Lonchura striata: one gene and its partner. The protein of the gene in region 2 interacts with the protein of the main gene of each other region in a biochemical or structural test. Links are inferred from orthologs where the notes say so. Each region holds a gene or a part of one and is shown on either strand. Other genes may lie near its edges.

What was found.
Region 1: the proteins of PARD3 (region 2) and JAM2 form a complex in vitro, tested with the Homo sapiens proteins (2 studies listed by BioGRID and IntAct, with this or other methods). The link is inferred for Lonchura striata from reciprocal best matches to the Homo sapiens genes PARD3 and JAM2.

Annotation. Positions count from the first base shown.
Region 1 is NC_134604.1:5,385,105-5,396,005, forward strand, and holds the start of JAM2 (junctional adhesion molecule B), read right to left. Parts: upstream 5,603-10,901; 5' UTR 5,451-5,602; coding exon 5,396-5,450; intron 1-5,395. UniProt on the Homo sapiens protein: Junctional adhesion protein that mediates heterotypic cell-cell interactions with its cognate receptor JAM3 to regulate different cellular processes. Plays a role in homing and mobilization of hematopoietic stem and progenitor cells within the bone marrow.
Region 2 is NC_134603.1:143,724,185-143,735,727, reverse strand, and holds the start of PARD3 (partitioning defective 3 homolog), read left to right. Parts: upstream 1-6,844; 5' UTR 6,845-6,973; coding exon 6,974-7,093; intron 7,094-11,543. UniProt on the Homo sapiens protein: Adapter protein involved in asymmetrical cell division and cell polarization processes. Seems to play a central role in the formation of epithelial tight junctions. Targets the phosphatase PTEN to cell junctions.

The DNA.
Region 1 (10,901 bases), on a different chromosome or scaffold from region 2:
AGCTTACTTTCTGCCCAGTTTAAGAATTTTTATGTAAGTACTTGAGTGCTTGATGATATATTGTGAGCATAAAGGTGACAAAGCTAGCTGGAGTCCTCCAGGAAAAAAAGTGACTTTGGAAATATAGGTGAGCACAAGCAATGGCAATCATTCAAATGCTTCTACAGCCTCTTCTGCTGTCTCATTCTTTGAAATACGTATTCAATTCTCTGAAAAACCCTAGCATTTAGATGAAGGAAACAAATAATTTGTCTTGATTACAAGACACCAAAATATTTGCTTTAAGTTTCCTGGAGTTGAATTACAGAACAATCACAGTGCTTTGAGCAAGATGTGACAGGCTTTTCTGCAGAAAATATTTTGCTGAAACTGATGGTTCTTTCAAAGGTACTGGCGATGGGAGAAGGCATGCTAGAAAGTAAAACTGTAACAAAGTTAGCTTTTCAAAAGTGGGGTGGGAGAGGGGGTGAGCTAACCAGAATAGAATGAACGACTTGAAACAAAATAAACAGCTTCCATATAACATTTCCCTCAGTTTCCATTAAAGTGCTCTCCCCATGGTACTGAACTAGAACTGAACTAGCCACTGAACTAGCCAGTAAGAACGTGTAAACCATCTCTTTTTCCACACATATGCAAAACTGCCACAAAGTTAACATGGTGGAGAAAAAAAACCCCAGCAAAACAAGAAAAAACAGCAGTAAGACAGCTCATTGTACATATCCACAAGGACACTATTTTATGCAAATTTTGTTTTGCTTGGTATCCTTACATAACTTCAAGGGAGTTTAGCCATTCCATATGGCCCTGGAAAACAGTCTGCAAGGACAAATACATATGTCTACCTTGGGCTCCACCTGCTTTAATATACAAGATATTTATTTTGCACTGTGGACATTTCTGGCTGTGTGCACATTTTTAAGTAACCTTCCTTTACATAAGCATTTGTACTGGAGTCACCTCTAGCATTTCTAAGGGAAATTATGACACTAAGCCTTACTTTAAGAAAAGTGTTCCTAAAAGGGTTCACCATGTGCAGGGAGCAAGTGTCTTCAGAAATGCTCCAACACAAGAATTACATTTTGAGTGTTGATGGATTCTAAGTAGATCATACCAGATGGAAAATTTTACATCCCAACTGCAGAACTATATTACTAGTTGCTCCTGGCTCTCTAAAAGCACTACCAACCCAAATCTATTCCACCTCAAACAAAGGAAGCTTGCTTACTGCTACTGCAGAAGGTTCACGTTCATGTCACTGTCTATCTTCAGTGAAGAAATACTACTACTATTTACTCATGTGAATTTATGAGGAAACTGAATTTTCTTAGTATCAGATGTACAAGAAGATTCTCCCATACTTCACAAGAGGACTTCTCCCTAGTGACCACTAGCACTTGAGAAGAAATAAAACCACCTGGGGCAACCTTGGAGGAAGGGTAAGTGTCTGCTGTAATGTTTTAAAAACAGGTCTGCACACATCCCAAATAACAATTGGAGTTAGTGAACACAGACAGGTTTGCTAGCTCTAAGTCATGACAGATGAAACTAGGTGTTCTTTTAAATCAATCAATTGAAAAGATGATGTCAAAAAACAACTACTTCTGTATTCTCACCAAATCATTTGCACTGGCATCAGCCAGTTTCTGAAGCAGAACCTGGAAGTTACCAAAATAGGCTGCAGCAGGAATTACAGGAAATAATCACATAAATATCTTTGTGTAATTCAGTTAAATAGACAACGGGAAGACCTCATCCAGGCTCAATTAGATCTGCCAGTCACAGTGGTAGCTTTAACTGTCATTATTAATGCCAGATGCCCTATGATATTCACAGTTACCAGAAATATGTATCCTACAACATGAACAAAGAGTTGTTGCAACTTTAAAGCTGAGAAAACAGGACCTCGGAGGCCAAGCAATAACAAAGTTCTCCTCTTGCACAAGTCCACCTTAAAAAAGAAGAAAAGAATTGCAACTGTCTTGATGTAACATTTCCAGGCACATTTCTTGTCTTGTATACAGTGAGGGAAGACAGCCACCCTCATTTTCTTTTTTTGTGCAGCTTAGAAAAATGATACCATGGGGCCAACCAAGGAAGAGCTCTCTCTGCCTCTGCTGGAGAGAGACAGGAGGGAGACAGAACAGCAACACTTGTGCCTGAGCCCTCTCAGGAAAACAGAGACCCTTCTAAGCAGCATGCCCAGGAAAACAGCATGACTTGCTGAAATGCTGCAAAAGCCATGATTTCTGAGAGAAATCAGTAACTCACAGCCAGTTTCTTCTGAGGTGAGAGGATCTAAGCAAGAGGGAGAAATTGTAAAGGTTACTAAATAAGCAAATAAATACTGCTTCTCACCTAAACCAGCAATGAAATGAACATTCAGTTAATTCCTCTTCCCCCAGTCCTGCTCCAAAACCAGGCTGTCTGCTTTATAGCATTATGCTGAACAGGTATTACTAGAGAAATATGCAGTCTTACAAATTTAAGAAATCCCATCTCACCTGAATATGGCCTAATTTAGGAATCAGTTCCTACCAAGCCAATCCAGCAAAGAGGGTTCAACAAAAGGCTGAGGGTTGACAATAGTCTCCATTTTGAGTACATCAGTTGTCTCTCACATATAGTCAAGAAAGCATAGTTTAAACACTTCCACTGTCACTTCCTACAGCAATGCAGTCAGCTTTATGATTTTTTTTGTTGGGGTTGGGGGGGAAAAGAAACAAAAGGCTTCTTTGGTCTAGAATCTCTGTATCTGAGTGAAAGGTTTCTGAGAATTAAGGAGTGGGGTTTTCTTAAGCCAGAAAAAAATAAACAAAATATCACCTTACTTACTTCTCAAACTACCCCAGTGAGCTCCATCAAATATTTAGGTAAGACTACTATTTATTGCCTCTGCACTGTCCTCTCACACACATATTGTACTGCATTTGCTTCCAGCATCGCCAGCTGAAGGCTCATTTCAGTGTGCACAAATATTAAGAAAAATCACACCTGGATGCTTCTCAGAAAGGCCATTTGGTCAGTACATACTATCTCCTCCCATGAAGCCATGATGGTTAATAACATTTTCTGTACATATTCTGTCTTGCCAACAGAGCTCACAAGTCTTACGCTGCGGCACCTTTTTCAACTTTGAGATGTCAATTCCAGAAGCCTGTGCTGAAAGAGAACATGATTAAAGACTCCCAGCTTCTTTAGTTTCCATAAATTAAAGGTGGAAGGGATGATTAGCTCACAGAAACTACAATTTCTGCATGACTATTTCTTAGCAAGTTCCCAATGAAAAGCAAACATCATCTACCTTGGCTATGCTGATGCCTTGTGACCAACTTACACAGCTTTTAATTTCTGCAGCTACCAAGAAAGTTCTCTATACCTGCTCCACAGAACCATTTAAGCAGAACCATTTAAGCTGGAAAAGATCTCTAAGACCATTGAGTCCAACCTTTGACCAATCAGCACTTTCACAACCAGGGCACTGAATGCCACATCCAGTTGTTTCTTGAACACTTCCAGGGATGGTGACCCTTCCACCTCCCTGAGAGCCCATTCCAATGCTTAACAACCTTTTCCATGTTCTTCCTGATGTCCTCCCCTGACTCAGCCTGAGGGTGTGTCCTCTTGCCACGTTACCCATATGCTGCTTGTGAGGTATCACTACTTCCTTTTCCTCACTAGTTTCTGCCCATTCTCCACCATCTCCAGAGCACATGGGTCCCACATAAGAGACTGCTCAGCCCATTCAGGTGGCTTGGACACCTGAATTACTCAGCCTTACTGTTCATGTAAACACATTCCAGCCACAGGAGCAGCAGCAGACTTCTGGTTCCTGGATTTCTTCCTGGGTTTCCTCTGACTCCCACAAACAGTAGGCATTTGCACACTCATGCACCTACAATCACTTTCTGAATGAAAGGACTTCTTATCAGCACCTTTCTTGTAAACTTGCTTTCCACCTAGTGTTTCTTTGGAATTGGGACAGTAAGGGGAAAAAAAAAGCCCACCAAGAAGAAACTTTCAAGTCTGATAACGATGTAGGCAGCAGACTTTGATGCACTGTATTGCACGCTCTATCATTTCCTTAGCAGTCAAAGCCAGCACTGCCAACAGACAACTAACCAGAAGGCTGAGCAGCCTGAACACACTGAAATCTGTCACCAAAAAAAAAAAAATCACAGCAGTTTCACCTGCTCAGATATATAATGAAATTAAGAAGAAATAAAGTAAAAAAAAAAAAAAACCAAAAGGCAAGCCATGTTGTTTATTATTATTAGTTACTATGAGAAAGAGAATTTCTGCACTAGCTGTTCATTTAACAGCCCAACATTTCCATAAGGTCTTGTAGGAGAAAAAAGAGAGGGGAAAAAAAAATTCCAAGCCAATGACCTATTAGACATGCATAACTTCAAATATCTCCACTGCAGGACTCTGAAAAAAAAAAAAAAAAAAAAAAAAGGGGGGGGAAGCTTATATACACAAAGCTTTTTGTTAGGTAATGTTCTATTAAGAGGAATGAAAGGTAAACCTCAAAATATACCCAGCATCAGTACCATGGATGTTCCACATCTACAGTGGATTGAGAACCCATCCTGGGCTGGTCCTAGGTGGTCATTTCATTGGAAGATGGTGCAACATAAATATTTTCAAAACACTATTTTCATGTACAGCCCTTTCCCCAAACATCAGTAAGACACAAAAAGCATAGAATAGAAGCACTGTAAGAAGACATGATCTGAAAGTGACAGCCTTATCACAACTGGCACTACTAACAGTGTGATAATTCAGTGGCTCTCCGGAGGTATGTGCTGCACATATCTGCTTTTTCCTATTATTTATGCGTGCTTTCTGGCTGGGGAATCTTTGCTCAACTTATTGTAACCTTAACCTTTTATTTTTAAGGAGTTCGGAGCATAAAAATACTGGAAACTCAAGAACTGTTCCGAAGATGCAGCATCCAGCGCTGGCAACAGAAAACGCGCTCCCGCCCCTCGTTCATTCACCTTGTAAAGGCCAGAAAAACAAAGTATGCAGCCCGCATCCTAAAGTTTGCACGGCGGCAGACGGCCGCTGACTCGCACTTAACCAGGCCGGCCTTTAACAGGTTACATCCGAGCGAAACCATGGAAAGACACACGGAAAGAATGCGTGTGGCGGGGGACGCGCTCGTTTGCGTTTCGCTCCTGGAAACGCTATTTGGCTGCTCTCGCCCCGGGATGAGGGAGGGGAAGCGGCACCTCCAGGAGCCATCCGCCTCAACACACGCGTAAAGATCCCGCGGGGAGCGTCCCCCGCACAGCCCGGCGGCGTGGCGGGTCGGAAAGCCCCGCAAGTAGGGAGCTGGCCGGGGCGGCGGGGCGCGGTGGCCCCGTGGGACAGGGACGCGGGCACTTACAGCTGAAGAACCCCACGAAAAGGAGGAGCAGCAGGCGCGGATTGCGGCTCGCCATCTTCCCGTACCGGCGGCGGCGTGGGGCGGTGCCCGGTGCGCCGGGGGCTCCGCGCCCGCGGAGCTGTTGCCGTGCGCGGCCGCGCTCTGCCTCCTCCGGAGCCGGAGCCGCCTCAAACTTTTAACGTGTCCGAGGAGGCGTCTCCCCGCTCCCAGCGCAGGAACCGGGGCGGGGATGTGCCCTGGCCACCCGCCCGCTCGCCCGCCCGCCCGGCAGCGGGGAGCCGCGGCGGGATGCGGCTCCGGGAGCATCCCTCTCCTCCACCGCCCCCGCAATGCCCCCGCGCATCCCCGGGGCTCTGGGGTGTTGAATACAGCAGTTCTTGTCTCCGTTTTGTTCCTTTTTAAGCTGTGACATCTTCATAAACTCAAGGACATTTGTTGCAACAGAATAAACTTTTCGTTAGGAAAAGATTGAATGTCTCTAAGAAGAGCGTTGTCCCTGTCGGCGCGTTTCCCTTCAGGCAAATCCTCTCAGGGAGGAAGTAGGGATAACGGGGTGAAGTCACGGAACAAACACTTGGATATTCCGGCTAACAAAAAAGCCATGTGAGGGCGAGGCGCTGTTTTAAGGCGAAAGAAGTCACAGTGACTCCTTGTGTGCCTGTCTATACAGCTGGATTGGACAGAATCCCACCTACAGCAGGAGATGGGTTGGTTACACGGTGACCTTCAAAATATTTTTATTATGTTATTATTTTATACCAGACTATGAGAGTTTTTTGTTAAATATACAGGTGGTGTAATAGTTCTTTAAATTTATGAATCAAGGAAAATTACTCATCTTGACAGTGGATAGTGTCTCTGAGTAGTTTCCAGTCACATCTTAAAAATGCATTACCACTGATGTAAAGCAATTCTATAACAAGAAAAGTATCACAAGTAATTTTTTTGGTAATCAGAACATCAATGATGGCTATATTTTGTTAGAAAGCAAGAAAATGAAGAAAGATCATTTATAAATAAAATCTCTAACAGCTATTTTAATGGAGAACAAGGAAGTAGGATACCATGATGCTCTTCATGGCAAAATCTTAGTTTATTTTTCACGTGGAAAAAAATGTATACAGAACACAAGTAATATTTCTTTTAAAAGATCTACATACATATATGTATGTATGTATGTCTGTCCAGTATACATTACTGGTATCATGACATGCATTTTATAAAATCAAAACTGTCCCATTGAAAACAGAAAAGTTTTTTGTGTGTCCCAGCACATCATAGTTTTAGGCAAGTACAAAGGTTCATTGATTTCAGTAGAACTGCTTTACTATTTAGTCAGACAATGACGGAAATGTTGTCTTGATATAACATTTAAATATGGCAAGAGTCTGGTGGAAAAGTTATAAACATGGGGAATGTTAAGAAATGGCAGTATGGAATGAAATTAAAGGATAGGCAATATAGGATGTTATTAATACTGATGGCTGATGAAAAACTAACATGCCCAGGCTGTGTGTGCTGGAAGCCCCAAAACCCCTCCTTGTGCTGGGCTGCATCCAAAATCCAGTAGGCAACAGGGCAGGGAGGGGATTCTGCCCCTCTGCCCCGCTCTGCTGAGACCCCACCTGCAGGGCTGCATCAGCTCTGGGCTCCAGCACAGCAAGGACAGGGACCTGCTGCAGCCAGGCCAGAGGAGCACCGAGGGGAGCAGAGGGATGGAGCAGCTCTGCTGGGAGGAGAGGCTGGGAGAACTGGGATTGTTCAGCCTGGAAAAGAGAAGGTTGCATGGACAACTCACAGCAGCTTTCTAGTATCTGAAGGGAGGCAGGAGAGGGAATCTTCATCAGAAAATGTAGTGACAGGACAAGGAATAATGGGTTCAAACTGAAAGAGGAAAATTTAGGTTTATATATAAACTTAAACCTTACAGTGAGCATGATGGCATGGATTGCCCAGAGCAGCTATGGCTGACTCATCCCTGAAGTGTCCAAGGCTCAAGTGTTCAAGTGTTCTGAGCGACCTGGTCCAATGAAAGGTGTCCCTGCCCATGGCAGGAGGTGGAATGAGATGGACTTTAAGGTCCCTTCCAACCTAAAGCTTTCTGTGATTCTGTGATTCATTAATGCAGCTCTTATACTAGAGCAAATCCATTCAAGCATGAGGTCAGACTAAAGTTCCTTTCTTCTGTTCACTATTTTATTTCTCTTGCAAGTGAAGCAAATTCCTAGTGTTTCCCCCACATTTCTCTGTTTTTTGTACAGTTCATATTTTCTTTTCATTCTCTTCTTTTATTTCAGCAATGGCTAGATTATGGTTTTTCCACTTGCTTTATACTACTACAGGAAACACCAGCAATTAAATGATAGTATTTTGAAGGCACTTACAGAATTACTGGAAAAATGGTTGTAATACATATAGTTCATGTAATATATACACTTTTTCTCTATGTACTTTGCTCAACAATTGTATTCTTAAAAATACTGTTAAGTACTTTGTTAGAAGGGCACAAGACTGCTATCCATATTTTTTACCTTTTAAAGTTGGAGTAGAAATGTTTTCATCAAATAACACATAGCGCCCAAAATGGAAGAATTTGTTTGAGATGCTCACTTTAACAGATATTCTTGGAGAACTTACCACAGACACTCCTTTTTAGAATAATAAAAATAGTTTATAATTAACATCTGCACACAAAATGCTAATCAACAATAACTATCTTACTTTGTGATAGCTGTTCTGGTCAAGTTCTTTGTATAGAAAAGCCTTGAAAAATTGAGTGTAATTGCAACATGATTTCAAGATTTGGATGTCTTGTTACAATCCCAGGAATATAGTTTTTGCTATAATGGGCAAAACTCCTTCATAACAATGTTTAAGGCATGAACCACTTCAGTCTGTGACACACAGTTGAAGAGTTCTGTTCTCACCTAACAGAAAAATTGTTTTGAAAAATAATTTGTAAAAATTCAGTGAAAGACCATAAGCCTCTGGCTCCTCACTTGGGAAACATTTTATCTTTCCTAGCTATATAATGCTAAAAATGAATAAAGAGAAATTAAGTTATAGAATCCTCCTTTTGGTGATTTCTCTACTCAAAATGTATTTTATTTTGCAGAGGGGAATAAAACCTCTCTAGATTTATTCTTCTGCAATTAACACGCTGATTTCTAGAATAGCTTTGATGTAAAATAACAACAATAAAAAATCAGTATAACAAATTAGAACTGCTAAATTTGGTTGCAAAAGTTTTGCAATGTAGATACTCAAATCTATCACAGATAGATTACCAAGGAAGATGACTGATTCCGCTTCTCAAAAACCTGCATAGAAGAGGGGCAGAAGTGGTGAAGCAGTGCAGTACATGAAGAAAACTTGCTGCTTAATTAGCACCTTGAAGAGTAAGATGCTAATTTCTATGGAATCTCTTCTTTGTTATGCCTTACACATGCCAGACTAGAAGAGATAATGAATGTTCATCCCTTTACTGCCATTAAAAATAACTTTAGAAAGAAGTTTAATGAATGACAATGTTTCCCTAGTCTGTCACATTCAGGCATATCTCAAGTTTACTCATTGAATTTAAGAAGATTAAATAATGCAACCCTCATTCCATGTAAGAAAGCACATATTTTTACCCCACTGATAAGCAGGTAGTATAGATATGTGGTGATCTGGAAGTAGCAGTTCTCTTGTTTGCAGAGTGAAATGCCAGTGAAAGCATAAAGGATTACAGTTCTGTGCTGCTTTCCCTTTTTCTTCCTGTGCTTTCCTACCATGATTGCTCTTTAAATGTTTTAGTGTCTCTTGGTTCATCTATAATAGAAGATAACCCAGCAAGTTTGTAGACAACCGTGCCTGATAATGATAAGAGTAGCAGTGGGGAAGATGTAGAATATGGAGCCACAAAGGGAGAAAATGAAAGACACAGAAAAAAAGTGTTCCTGTGAATAATCATGCCTATCATTCTTTATATGGACACTTGAGAGCTCACTGTTATTGGAACTTACATGGTTCAGGCTTTGATCAAGAAGACACCTTAGAATATGCTTCCATATTTAACAAAGAAGAAACAGATTTTTCCATATTTCTAAAAAGAGAAATGTTATGTTTGAGATGGTCAGAGGTGCCATTTGAGATTTGGTGCCACAGCCTGTGCATAAGATCTCTGTACATATTTTTTCTCAGCACACTAAATTGTTGTTACATATATTTGCTCTAATAAATGCTGAATACAGTAGCACACAGCTGTGAAGTGACCATTCTGATGTGATTCCAGGCATAGCTATGGGATAAGTTGATGGAAAATTATTTTGTAAAACTGCTAAAACAGACTCCATTTAATTTAGCTCAATTGCCAATACGCATATTTTACAATCAATATCATATTTTTTTTCCTAAAGTCTGTATATTGATGTACTATGCATTTTTTATGCAGCTTTAACTGCCAGCCTGCAGTACATTGAATCTATCAGCTTGAAAGCCTTGCCCTTTAGTGTAAAGAATAATCAACAACCATATGTGGGGACAGGCTGATATTTCCAATTTAAGGGACACATTTTCTTTTGCAATTTTAGTTATCATGGCACCTGGTTTTTTACAATGTCCTGGGGTATTGCTTTAATGGTTGCCACTCCCCTGCCTGTCACCAGGGCCTTGTCTCCTTTTGAGTTCTGTGGCATTTTATTATTTTTTATACCTGATTTATCTGAAAAAGTATCTGCTTGTTTTGTAATTTGAAACTAAAAACTGTGAGCAAGAATATTTTTGAGAAAAGAAGCAAAAAAATATTTTCAGATATGTTTTTTTTTTTCTTCAAGCTGTCACTGATGGCTGTTTAAAGACAGACCATGCCATGGATTAGTTGCGTGGCTATAATGCAATGGACTAGAGTAGTGATAGAACACTGTATTGCTATTAGACTCTTAAAATATTTCATACCTAATGGGACTGTCAAACTTCAATCAAGAAGGCCACAAAATGTGAGGGCAGAGCAAGCAAAGAGCAATACAAATTACTTGTTCTTAGTAGCATTTTTCAGTGAAAACCCCTACAGCCCACCTTCATTTTCTGGAATGTCTTCTATGATTTTATCTTTGACTTGCTAAGTACAGAATCAATGCCTTTTTCTTCTTCTTCTTTTTTTTTTTTTAAACTGAATTTGCAAGATTACTGCCACTGAGTAGGCGGCTCAGTAGCAAATAAAGGTACATTTCAAAAAAAGATCCATCACATAGGACGGCATTGTAGGACACAATTCAGCCTAAGCAACAGTGGACAATGCATTAGCCACAATGCTACTGGTGGAGAATTCGGAATTATTTTGGCACAGTGTTCATAACGCTTTACTGCTCACTAGGTAAAAGAATGCCTGGATGGCAGAGCCCAGACTTCTGGTGAGTGGTGTAAAATCCAGTTGGCAACTGGTCACCAGTGGTGTCCCCAGTGCTCAATATTGGGGACAACCCTATTTCATCTCTTTGTAAGGAGGGGATTGAGTGCATCCCTC
Region 2 (11,543 bases):
GTGAGATGGAAAGAGAAGTGGGACTGAGTATGGAAAAGAGAATAAAATATAGAAAAAGAGGAGGGGAAGAAAGAAGATTTTGAGGTTAATGAAAGGAAAACATGAGAAATCATAGAGTGAAACAGATAATGTGTCACCTCTTTCTGATTATTTTTTTCTTACTCTGTCTCCTCTAAGTCAAGAACTATCTTAAAAGCAGTGTTCAAATTTCAGCTGTCTGCTTTTGCCCCATTCCTCTTTCAATACTTGATTCTGGTCATAGCATGTACTTGGAGATTTTTGGAAGTTTTCAGTGAGTAGTTTTGCTGCAGCAGTGAAGGTGACAGTGTATATCCTACTCACACTCCCTGCAAGGAAATGTGTAATACATTCCCTGCTGGTCCTGCATGCTTTGACACTTGACTGCTGGCCTGTGCCCTAGAAAAGGCTTTCTGCAGGTGCCATGGGACTTTGCTCTGGAGCAAATATTTATGCAGGAGTGATAGCATGTGTTTGCATCAGGAGTGTATTTAACTGCATGTGTAACAGAGATGAATGTGTTCCAAGTGCATGTCTGTATTTTTATCCCTCTAAATTCCTGTGCAAATTGGAAAGTCTTTGCTGTAATATCCTTACCCTGTGCAGTCCTCCCTGTTACCATCAACACAGGGAGAAGCTGAGCAAGGGATATATTTCCCTTCAAGCTTTATCAATGTTTTCCCGCAAATATCAAGATAACGATTTTTTTTTTCAAAGCCATGCCGCTCTCCCATTCATTTTCAGTCCAACAAGGATGGGGACAGGATGTAAAATTAAAGATTCCTAAAGAGGAACAACAGTTGAGAAATATATCCTTAATATGTTTATAAACCCCATGAATAATTTGTGTGGTGGAATATATGTTCTATCATGTTTTGATAGGCCTTTTGACTAACATATCCTGTGGGTGTTCTTCTTCATGTCACAGGCAGGTATTTTTTCAGGAATGCTCATCAATAGATAAAACCTGATAGTGGCAAATAATTTGGCATAGCTTCTCTTCAGCAAATGGGTTCCTCTGGCAGTATCTGAATTTGTTCCACCTCTGCAAGTACTTGACAAATGAGCCCAGTACTGTAGCTCTGTGTTGATATTTTTTATTCGTTATTTGGGTAGAGCTGATAAGGCCTGAGGGTTTGATCCAAAGCTCACAGAAGTCAGGGAAAAGACTCCGCAAGCCTTTTTTAGTCACTGGATTTCTGTATTCTGTGTTTCAGAGCTTGGAAATCTGTGCCAAGAACTTAATCAATAACTGAAAGGCTGGAAGAAATGCAAAGAGCAAACTTCTAAACAGGCAGAACAAAACAATACAAAACAAAACAAAACAAAAAAAAAAAAAAAAAGGAAAACATCCAATAAATTCTCATCAGAAACAAAATGTCTCCAAGTAGCTTTTACAGGTGAGGCTATAAGTGAAATAACTTTCTGAAATTTCAAGGAAGTACCAGGCTTCTAAAAGCTTTAAGACAAAACTGAAATGGACATCCTAGAGTCCCAATATCATATATTCTACAAGTACCCTTTAGTTCAGTCTTCTGTATATTAAATAGGTTCACCTAGATTTCTGATGCTGCTTTTAAATCTCTTAAATTCTGCTATTTTTAACAGCTTTATTTTTACAATTTTTAATAGTTGCTGGTAATTGAAAAGTTGCTACAAATTTAATTTTACTGATGATATGTTTATATGTTTGTGTTAAATATTATAGGGCTAGGCAGCAATGACCCCTCTACTTAGATTATCTAGTATTTTCCATGGTGGAAAATACTGTGTTTAGTTTTTCATTTTTTAGGTGTTAGGAAGCTTTGATGACTGAATGTCTGCAGCTGCCCTTTGAAACTGGTCAGGGATAAAATTCCAAATCTGTGTAAGTGCTTCGTCTTTGTCCTGTGAAATTCTGCAGGGATTTTCTGGTCTCAGCTGTTGACATTCAGTGTTCCTGTTCTCCCTTTTCGTTTCCTCTGTAAAGCTTGCTGAAACTATAACTGATGATGTGCTTTGGGTATAACTAACCTCATACCCCCAAAGCAAGCCCTAGGGTGGCTGGATCCTGCAGAACAGCCTCGGTGGCTGCAGAACAGCTCTGTGGCATGAGAGAAAATGAGAGAAGGTGAGAGATCATTCTCGTCCCAGTGCAGTCCCTGTGGTGGGTGTCCCTCCTGGCAGGCACAGGCTTACAAACTCCTCATAGCCCTAAGGGCAAATAAAAGGAGCTGGTCAGCTCCAATGTGTGACTTAGATTTGTGCTTTGCAGTGCAGGGACATTCAGAACCCTACCTGTATCATTATGTGAACATAATTTTGTTCAGCCCATAGCATAAATATAGTGTGTGGTATGAGAGCAGGCTGAAGCAATTGGTGTCAATGTTTTCCTTATGACATTCCATAGCTCTAGCACACACAAAGATTATTTTGGTATCTCCTGGCAATGCCCCCTTGTGTGCTCTGGACACCTCCAGTAACTTCACTCTTTTCATGCAGCTCATGTTTTTCACTTTTTAGACCTCTAATGATTCTGCTTCCTTACCTGTGGATTGCCTTTAAGGGCCCAAACCAAGAAGTAACTCAATATGTTTATTTCAGGCCTTCCCAGATCTCAGCTCAATAAGCTATTAGTTGATATAAATTAGATAAAGCAATTCCATTTATACAGTTCCATGATGGGTGAAAACCACCCGAGCATTATCAAGAAAACTATTCAAATTCCTCAAACATAATTCTTTTAAAAACAGCAAAATTCAGGAAAAGAGTAGTGAATTTACCTATACTCATTCCTTAGCCCTAAACACCTCCCCACTACCCAAAGTTGCTTGAGACACAGGTTGGAGCCCCTGGAAAGGGTAACAGTCTTGTGGCTTTTCTTGAAAACAATACATTGTTCTTTGCTACAATTTCCTCCTTCTATTATACCACAAGGAAAGTTCTTGTCTTCCCAAATTTGTGTGTCTGCATTCCCTAAGTCGAACATCAATACATGTGTGATTCTGTAACTACCTCTTACTGATCTGAGGGCTTTTCAATCCTGAAATCCCAGACCCTTTTGAGAAATTGTAGAAAATAAATTTTTATTCAGTTTCTTTTTTTTTTTGTTGTTGTTTTTGTTGTTTTTGTTTTTAGACCAGGGCTAGCCACAAATTATTTAAAAAGCTTTAATAATTTTCTCAATCATAAAAGAAAATGATGGGAAACACTCCCTTACTTCTTTGTGGAAGAACCATCAGTATGGCAGGAAAAAAGTCACAAAATATAACATCTGAGAAATCAACCCATTCCTATAGATGAAAGGTTATCCATGGAAAGATCTCAGTCACAGACATGTTTACTTTGATTAAATTTCTACCTCAGAGTAAAATGTAAACGACTCAGAACTTTAAATTCAGAATTTTGAAAAGGAACTTAAGGCTTTACCTAATAACTCAGCAGAAGTGTTACAGCAGGTAGCTATCTTAAATCATTAAAACCTAGTACTGTTTGGTATATCCATAAGGCATTTTCACAAATGGCACTTTTTAAAAAAAGACCTGTAATTCTTCAAGGAATACTCTTGCTGTTCAGTTTGACACTGGTCTTTCTACAGTACTGTATGAACTTTAATGGGCTTAAGGAAATATCTATATTTAAAAGAAACTGAACTTAATACATACTCTACCTGGAGTTGGGGTTTTCTTATGAAACCAGGGAATATCTGTATGCCATGAACAGACTACTAAACCTGAACACATCCAGAATTATTCCATAAAAATTCTCTGATGTAGAGTATAAAGATGGGATAAACTGTGAGATAACTCTGGAAATCAGCATCATTCCACTGTCTGAATAATTTACCATTCCCGTAAAAAAGGCTTTTGATAATCTGCATTTAATTGCAAGATTCTCACTCCTTGCATGTTTGCAGCAGCGGCTTTCAACTGGTTGGCTGTTTTGAACAAAACTTGACTAGTGATCATTAGCAGCTTTGATTCTCTCCATCCCATACTTCACCACCTACTTCTTCCTGCAAGACAGATGATGTTTTCATGGAAATCCTCCATCAGTGTACCATTAATAAATGAATTGACAGGTTCTGTGGTCTGTTAGCCCATGAAAGTTCAACATCCAGAACCATATATATGCCACCCATATTGCAGCCTGGATAGTAGTTGTAATTTTTTTAAACCAGCAACTCTTGCCAATTCTTCTCCTGATTAGTATAATCCTTTTCTCATAATCTCTTATAATAATGTTTTATACTTCATTTACCGTACATAATTAGGCCTCATACAATCTCTCAGCCTTGTTGTATTTTTTTTTAAAGTTCATTCTTGCTTTTAAGGAAGAACAAAACAAACACTATATGTGGTAAATTTTATTTTAAATGCTTTCAGAATGATGTGTGTATAATTTGTGTGTGTATCTAGTGGGGAAGAAACGCAAATCTTTGAGGCTCTCATTCCTGTTAGGTCTATCACTATTCATGTTCAAGTCTTTAAGTTTTGGCCTTAAATCAGATCCCAGGACAGACTTGTTTTCTTGTACGTCATTACTGAATTTTCCTGTTTCACACATTTAATGGAAAAACTATCAATATTTCTTTCTAAACTGTTGGAGGTTTTTTTTGTTTTTTTTTTTTTTTTTTTTTTTTTTTTTTTTTTTTTCCAGGAGACTGTTAGAACAGCTGGGAAAACTGCCAAGCAACTTGTTAGAGACAGTAGGAGCAGGAACTAAATCACAGAAAAACATGAAAAACCTGTAGCTGCGTCTGAACAGTGAAATAGTTACTATCCACCAGAAAGAGTATTAAGCCTTATAAATATCAAGTTTTAGAGCAGTGTGGAAAAACTTCTAATATGCAACATTTTGTTTTAGCAGATAAATGCAAATGACAACTGAATGTGAAACATTACAAAGTCTATGACATAGTAAAGTTCTTGTTAAAAACAGCCTGGGAAGAGCCTCTATTGATTTCACATTTTCACAGTCCTTTCTGCAAGTTTCTTAAGTGATGTATATTAAACCAAGGATTTATAGCTCTTTCATCCTTTCCCAGCAGCTCTTATGATCACCTAGAAAGCACAGAAGCTGCAGGTTAGAGGACATTTTCATCTTTCTCCAATAATAAACTTGATGAGCTATGGCCATAAAACTGCAGAGTGTACTCAGTTGTCTCAGTCATGAGCTGTAAACTGTTTACACCAGTTTTATTTTATTTCTGCCTTTCTGAGCTCATGCATACTGCCTTTATTCCACACAAGTGAACACTGGGGATATGACAAAATATAACAACGCAGGTGTGCTTGTTTCCTGCTTTAAAAGGCAGACTATTTCTTATTTAAATTCATATATATTAGTCCAGATAACTCGGGTGGGTAACTAATAAAACTGGCATCTAAGCTAAAAATTATCTGTAGGTCAGCAAATGGATTCTTTGATCTTGTGAGTGCCCCAAAGCTTTCCAAAACTGAAATTAATAGAAAAAGGTTCTATAGATTTGAATGAAATTGGACATTATTCATGGAACCAAATTAATATAAACTGACTCCTCCATTTTCTATACTAGAAACTCCTAACTAGAATGCAAAGGGTTAGGGATGCCATTCTCACCCTTGACTTAACAGGGCAATAATTCTACCTTTGATGTTTTAAAAACATCATTAATTCTGCTCCATACCTCTGTACCTACTAAACCGCAGACAGCTTTGCCATTTGTACCAGGTTTGAAGTTCTTAAATTTACTAATACTATTGCTAAGGGAACAGGAGCAGACTGCCAGCTGGGACAGCTGCCGGGCAGGGAGCACCAGAGGACACGTGCTGAGTTGTCCGGTGTTGTAGAAGGATGTTGACATTATGTGCTACAAAGCTTACTTGAATTTCACATATTTAGCGCTGTGTGTTCAGGAAAAAGAAAAGAAAGAAGAAGAAGAAAGTTTTTTTTTTTTTTTTTCACTGCTTTCTTGTCCTCCAAACTCTGCTTTCACTCTAGTTAAATTGTTTTACCATATCTACACAAAAGATATATATTGTCAGGCCACACTGAATGACCAATGAACTGTGCAATTCCATTGTCCTCAATGAAATCCGTGGAAAAAAGTGAACGATATCTGCAAACCCCTATGACTTCTGACGGCTTTGCAGAGGAGATTGCTCAGCGGTTCCATTGATGCTGGTGTTACTGACGATGAAGGAGGTTTTGCACAGTGCCGGTCCTGTTGCGTTAACAGATGCCCGAACGACCAGGAAGGCCATCTGATTTCGGCCGTGAGCGGTGGCTGCGTGCCCCGGACACCGGGAGGAACAGCAGAGCACCGCGGTGTCCAGCCTTCTCTGCGGTGCCGTGCCCTGCTTTCCCCGGACCCGCGTACCTGAGGCAGGGCGGCGGCGCCCGTTTCCCCCCGTGCACCGGGACCAGGACTTCGCGGGGCTCCTTGTGCCGGTGCGGCCCCGGCTCCGCATCCCCGGTTCCCGGCGGGGCAGAGCGAGGCGGGGGCAGCCGCACCACCTCGGGCTCGCTCGGGGCTCTCGCTCCGATCGTGTGCGGGCCCGCCGGCTCCCCCGCCCCGTCCGCGCTGCCGGCGCCCCGCGGAGCGGCCGGCTGCCCCCGCCCCGCCGCGCCGCCCCACGCCTGCGGAGCGGAGCCAGCGCCGCCGCCCCGCCCGCCGCCGCTGCGCGCCGGGGCAGGAGCCGGGCAGGTGGCCGCGGGCAGCGCCGCGGCATGTGAGAGCCCCCGGCCCTCGGGAAGGCAGCACCGGCCAGTCCTGCGCTGCCCTCCCTTCCCCGCGCCTGCCGGGCCGGCCGCGAAGCCGGGGCAGAGGCAGGGCGGCCGCAGCGGCAGCCCGGCGGCGGCCGGGGGCTGAGCGCCGCGCCCCGCCGGGGGGCGGCCGTGGCGGAGGGCGGAGGGGAAGAGGAGGAGGAGGAGGAGGAGGAGGAGGAAGGCTGCGCGGGGCCGGAGGGACGCGGGAGCCCCCCGGCCGCACAGGATGAAAGTCACGGTGTGCTTCGGGAGGACGCGGGTGGTCGTGCCCTGCGGGGACGGGAACATGAAAGTTTTCAGCCTGATCCAGCAAGCGGTGACCCGGTACAAGAAGGCGATCGCCAAGGTGAGGGGCGCGGGGAGCGGCGCCCGCGATCAATATGGCGCTTCCCGGAGCGGGGAGGGAAGCGAGGGGGAAAGTCCGGGCTGCCCCGCCGGGGAAGCGGCGGGAGCGGGGCCGGGGGCGGCGGCGGAGCCCGCGGGAGCGTGTGCCCGGCGCCGCCGGGGAGCGGGGCCGGGGGGCTCGGCCCCTCCGCGGCGGCCGGCGCGGCCCCTCCGCGGCTCCCCGCGGGCCGCGGCCCTTTGTTCGCCGGTGCCCGGCGGCCCCCGGGGGCGTCGGTGCGGGAGCCGCCCGAACGCGGCCGGCAGAGCGGCGCGGGGTCCGGCGGTGCCGGGTCTGCCCCGGGGCGGGTGGCGGGGCCGCGGCGCCGCGGAGGGCTGGAAATCCAGCTCCAGGCTTCCCGGCCCTCCAGGCCCGGCGGGGAGGGCGGTGCGAGGGGACCCCGCCGCGGGGGCGTCCGGCGGCGCCCCGCGGGCCGCCCCCCGCGCCGGGGAGGCTGCGAGGGGCCCGCGGCCGCCCGCGGCTCCTCCGCGGCTCCTCCGCGGCCGCCGCCCCCGGGGGAGGCTGCGCGCCAGCGGGACGCTCCGCGGCGCCCCGGGGTGCGGGGGGCGCCGGCCCGGCCCGCGGCGGGGCCCGGCAGCGCCGCGCCGGCCTCCCGCAGCCCCATGTTGAAATCCCTGGCTGTGCGTGTGCAGGCAGCTGCAGACTTGGCTTTCCCTCCATGGGCAACATGTTGGGTTTTGAGTTTCTTCCCTTCCTTTTTTTTTTAAAAATATTTTTTTTCTCTCTTTCCTCCCTTCCTCCCTTTCCCACCCTCCCCGTGCTTTCTTGTCGCTGCAAACTTCTTTTTAATCAACTGGTTTGTTGGGCAGTATGAGCATCGTTGGCTGAGAACTTCAGCAGTGCCCTTCCCCTTTCCTCTGCCTTATCGATCCAAGAAGTTTTAGTGTGCTTCTCTCTCTTATCCCTTCTGAGACATTTTACACTTTTACCGGTTTTACTTTGGCCAATGCACACTGCCAGCCTGTCCTGAAACATGCAATGGAAGGAATATTGTGACCGGTTCATTGATTGGTTTGAAGTGATTCCTGAGAAAATTTTTAAAATCAGCTTTTTAATAGAGAATTGCTGATGCTGGGAGGAGAACAGGAACTAAGTTTCCCATCATCTCCCCACCTAAGAACGTGGGTTTGAAGACAGCAAACATATTCTGATTCTGTCTGGAAAAAAGAGAAAAATGATTCTTGAGGATACGGCTGTGGCTGCATACCAGCTGTCATTCATATACAGCAGTTAATGCACATGGCAGTCTACTTGCATGTAGGAGTCTGGGGCTGAAAGTACCTCTCTGGTTAAGGTAAAGCAGTGAACAGTAAAGTGAGACTGTTTATGGAACACTGAATGCCTCATTGGGCCATTCACATGAGAAGTGTTTGCAGCATTTGTTCATCAGTGTTAGAGCATTAATAAAAATAATTACTTTGCTGTGTTTTTTTCCAAAACTGTGGCCCGTGTAACTCCTGTGGCAATGGGCTGCATCCTGGCTTCCAAGTATTAAGCTGTGTTAAAGGGTGGCAGTTGCATTCTGCAGGATAATGTTAAACCTGGGAGGGATTGAAGTTGTAAGCACAGGGGACACACACAACAGTGACCAGGAAAAGGTTACATCATTGCAAATTTCATTATAGAAAAAAAGTGGCCCACCTGTGGAAGCATGGGAAGGAAAACATGTAACTGACTATGGCCATGTACTTCTTAAAGAGACAGTTTGCAGAGGGGCAGCCAGACTTTGACTGGTTCCTGGTATCAAAAGCTCTGCATCCTGGGTTAAAATGACATGGTGGTTTTATTTATTAGTATTTATATGGTGGTTATGCTAAATGCCACTGGTATGGACTTGAGGTAGCTGCAATTACTGAGATTGTTTCTATTAGATGGAAATTCTGTGGTTGAAAACAGTAGCAGTGTCCATGGGCTTTCTCTGAGTGTTTTATATGGTCACTGTCAAACCTTACTTTTAACTTGAATTTGCTGACGATTTTCTGTGGTGATGTTTAGGTGGGAGGGAACCGGATCTTACAGTAAGTAAGTTTTGTAAGTAGGTGTATAGTGCTGTTTGCTGTGCTTGCAGTAGAGTAACATAGTAATTGTCTGGTTTGGATGCTAGAACTCCACAGATGACTCTATTTTTGTAGCAGTTAGATGGCTCCTTTCTATGCTTGTGTAGCAGATGTGCAAGTCTTCACTTCGTAAGGAGACAAGAGAGGGGACAAAGTAATTCCTGAGAGGATCAAAGTATATGTGGCCATATGAACTTACAGTCTGGCAGCTGGTATCAAACTGACACTGAAATCTATTTCACCACCACTATGCTTGTATGGAAAGAATATCTGGTGGAAGATTATTCAAAATATTTGAATGAAGTCTATGGTTTTCATACTTATAGGAAAAGCAGCATTTCTCATCCTTCAAGAATGTGTGTGTCTACTTTTTGCAGAAGTTCTTCAGGAGAACTCCTTGAGAACTGAGTTGTCAGCCCTTCCCAGATTTCCCCCCGCTTTGTCACGGTTTCCCAGTTGTGATTAGCAGTGAGGCTGCCCAAAACCATGCTTGCAGAGTGCCAGGAGGGAATAGCTTCAAAATTTGACCTCAGTGTTCTGACTTGGTATTATTTAGGTTGAAGAGACATGTTGACAATGGAAAAAGTACTTATGGAGAGCAATCCACATAATAGTACAGTTCTCCTCGCTGTAAAATTTTAGGAGTTAAAGACATACAGATAATACAACTGCAGATAACTGCAGTTAGTTCTGCTATGTCTTTGATCAGGATTCATAAATCTCCAAAAATTTATTATGGATTAACATTGCTGTCAATGCTAAGTCTTTGTGTGTGGAATTAGTTATCAATATGAAAGGCTGTGTTTAAAGGCTGGTCTGTGTAGTGTGTATAAATTTTTGCGTTCTTTTACTTTTATTCCAAGAGAAGCTTTGTGTATGAAACATGATTCATTCTTTCTGCAGGTTGTGTTTGCTGGAAATGAACAAGCAAATGATAAGAGGTGTTTGAAGTGTCCACCTTGTTCAGGGCAAGTGGAGTCAGCAAAATCGATCATGTTAAATGAAACCCAGTTTTCATGGGGGCAGGCTAATGGTGCACTTGTGTGTGGCTGGATGGAGTGATGCAGCCTCTGGCACCATCTCTGCCGAGTCTTAAAGGAGTACAACTTGGGCAGGAGGAATGGGAGATGTAGTTTCCAGACCCTGCTGGTCAAGGGTTGTGCAGATTTGGAGTTGGTGTAGTCCTAGCAATTAATGTAATGGTTAAAAACTTGCAAGAAGGTAAGTGTGATTTAAGAGGGGAGGTCAGCCACATCTGAGTGGTTTAACATTGAGATGATGGCCTGCACCGTAAGGGAGAAGGCAGACAGTCAGTTGAGATGAAACATGCTTCTCAAATATTGAACCAGTGTTAAAAGGTGGAAAATTATTATAAAAATCATGTATTGAGCAACTATTGAAAGGAAGTAATTCTGCATCTTGTAACTTTGGTTTGATCTAGATGTAGCCAGAGATGTTTCTGACTTTTTTTGTTGACTTTTGACTGTCAGTATAATCTCTTGTGCTTTGGTTTTTGGGGAGGATATTGTAAGCATTTTATCTTCTTTTTCTTGCAAGTAAAAGTTGCATTGCTTAAGCAATGGGTAGATTAAAAAAAAAAGTGATGCAAATGGTAAGCAAGAGAATGCAATAGGAAATTGTAGATTTGCTCGAGTTGTTCAGTGGCATGTTGAGTCCCTGGAGGGGTTATTTGGTCTCCATGATAGTTCAGGCTGATGCCCGGCATATCATGAGCTTATAGGGTGCTCCTAGACTTTATATATAAAACTAATTTTCCAGTTAAAATAAATAAATTAAGTTTTACTGCTGAATCAAAAAGATTTAAATAGAAGTCTTGAGACACCTTTCCCCTCTCCCATGTCAAATGCTGTAGGAGATGAAGTTTTGTGAGGGTTTTGATGTTGCATGGAACAATACTTCAATTGTTAATTTGAAAACTGCAGTGCACTAATATTTGTGAAAAGAAATTGTAATCTGCTCTTTGATAGTGTTAGAGGCTGTTGCTGATAAGAGACCAGAACTCCAGGAGAGTTGGCAGTGTAAGCGAAGGTAACAGGTGTCAGATGACCATATTCTCTTGTAATTTGTACACTGGGGGCTTAAGCCACCCAAAGCTTAAAGCTGCATCTCTTTGGTAGGTCTGACATTCATCAGCAGGGAATTGTGAGGGATGAGGGTTGAAACCTGAGTGATTGTGTCTGTGAAGCTTGCTTTTTTTTCTGTTTTTGATTTTATCCCCCCAGTGCCAGCTAACGGGGACTATTTGCTTAGAAGTCAGTTCTCAGGCAGCCGGTTCTCTGCCAGGTACACAACGGCAGCTTTGATGCAAGTTGTGT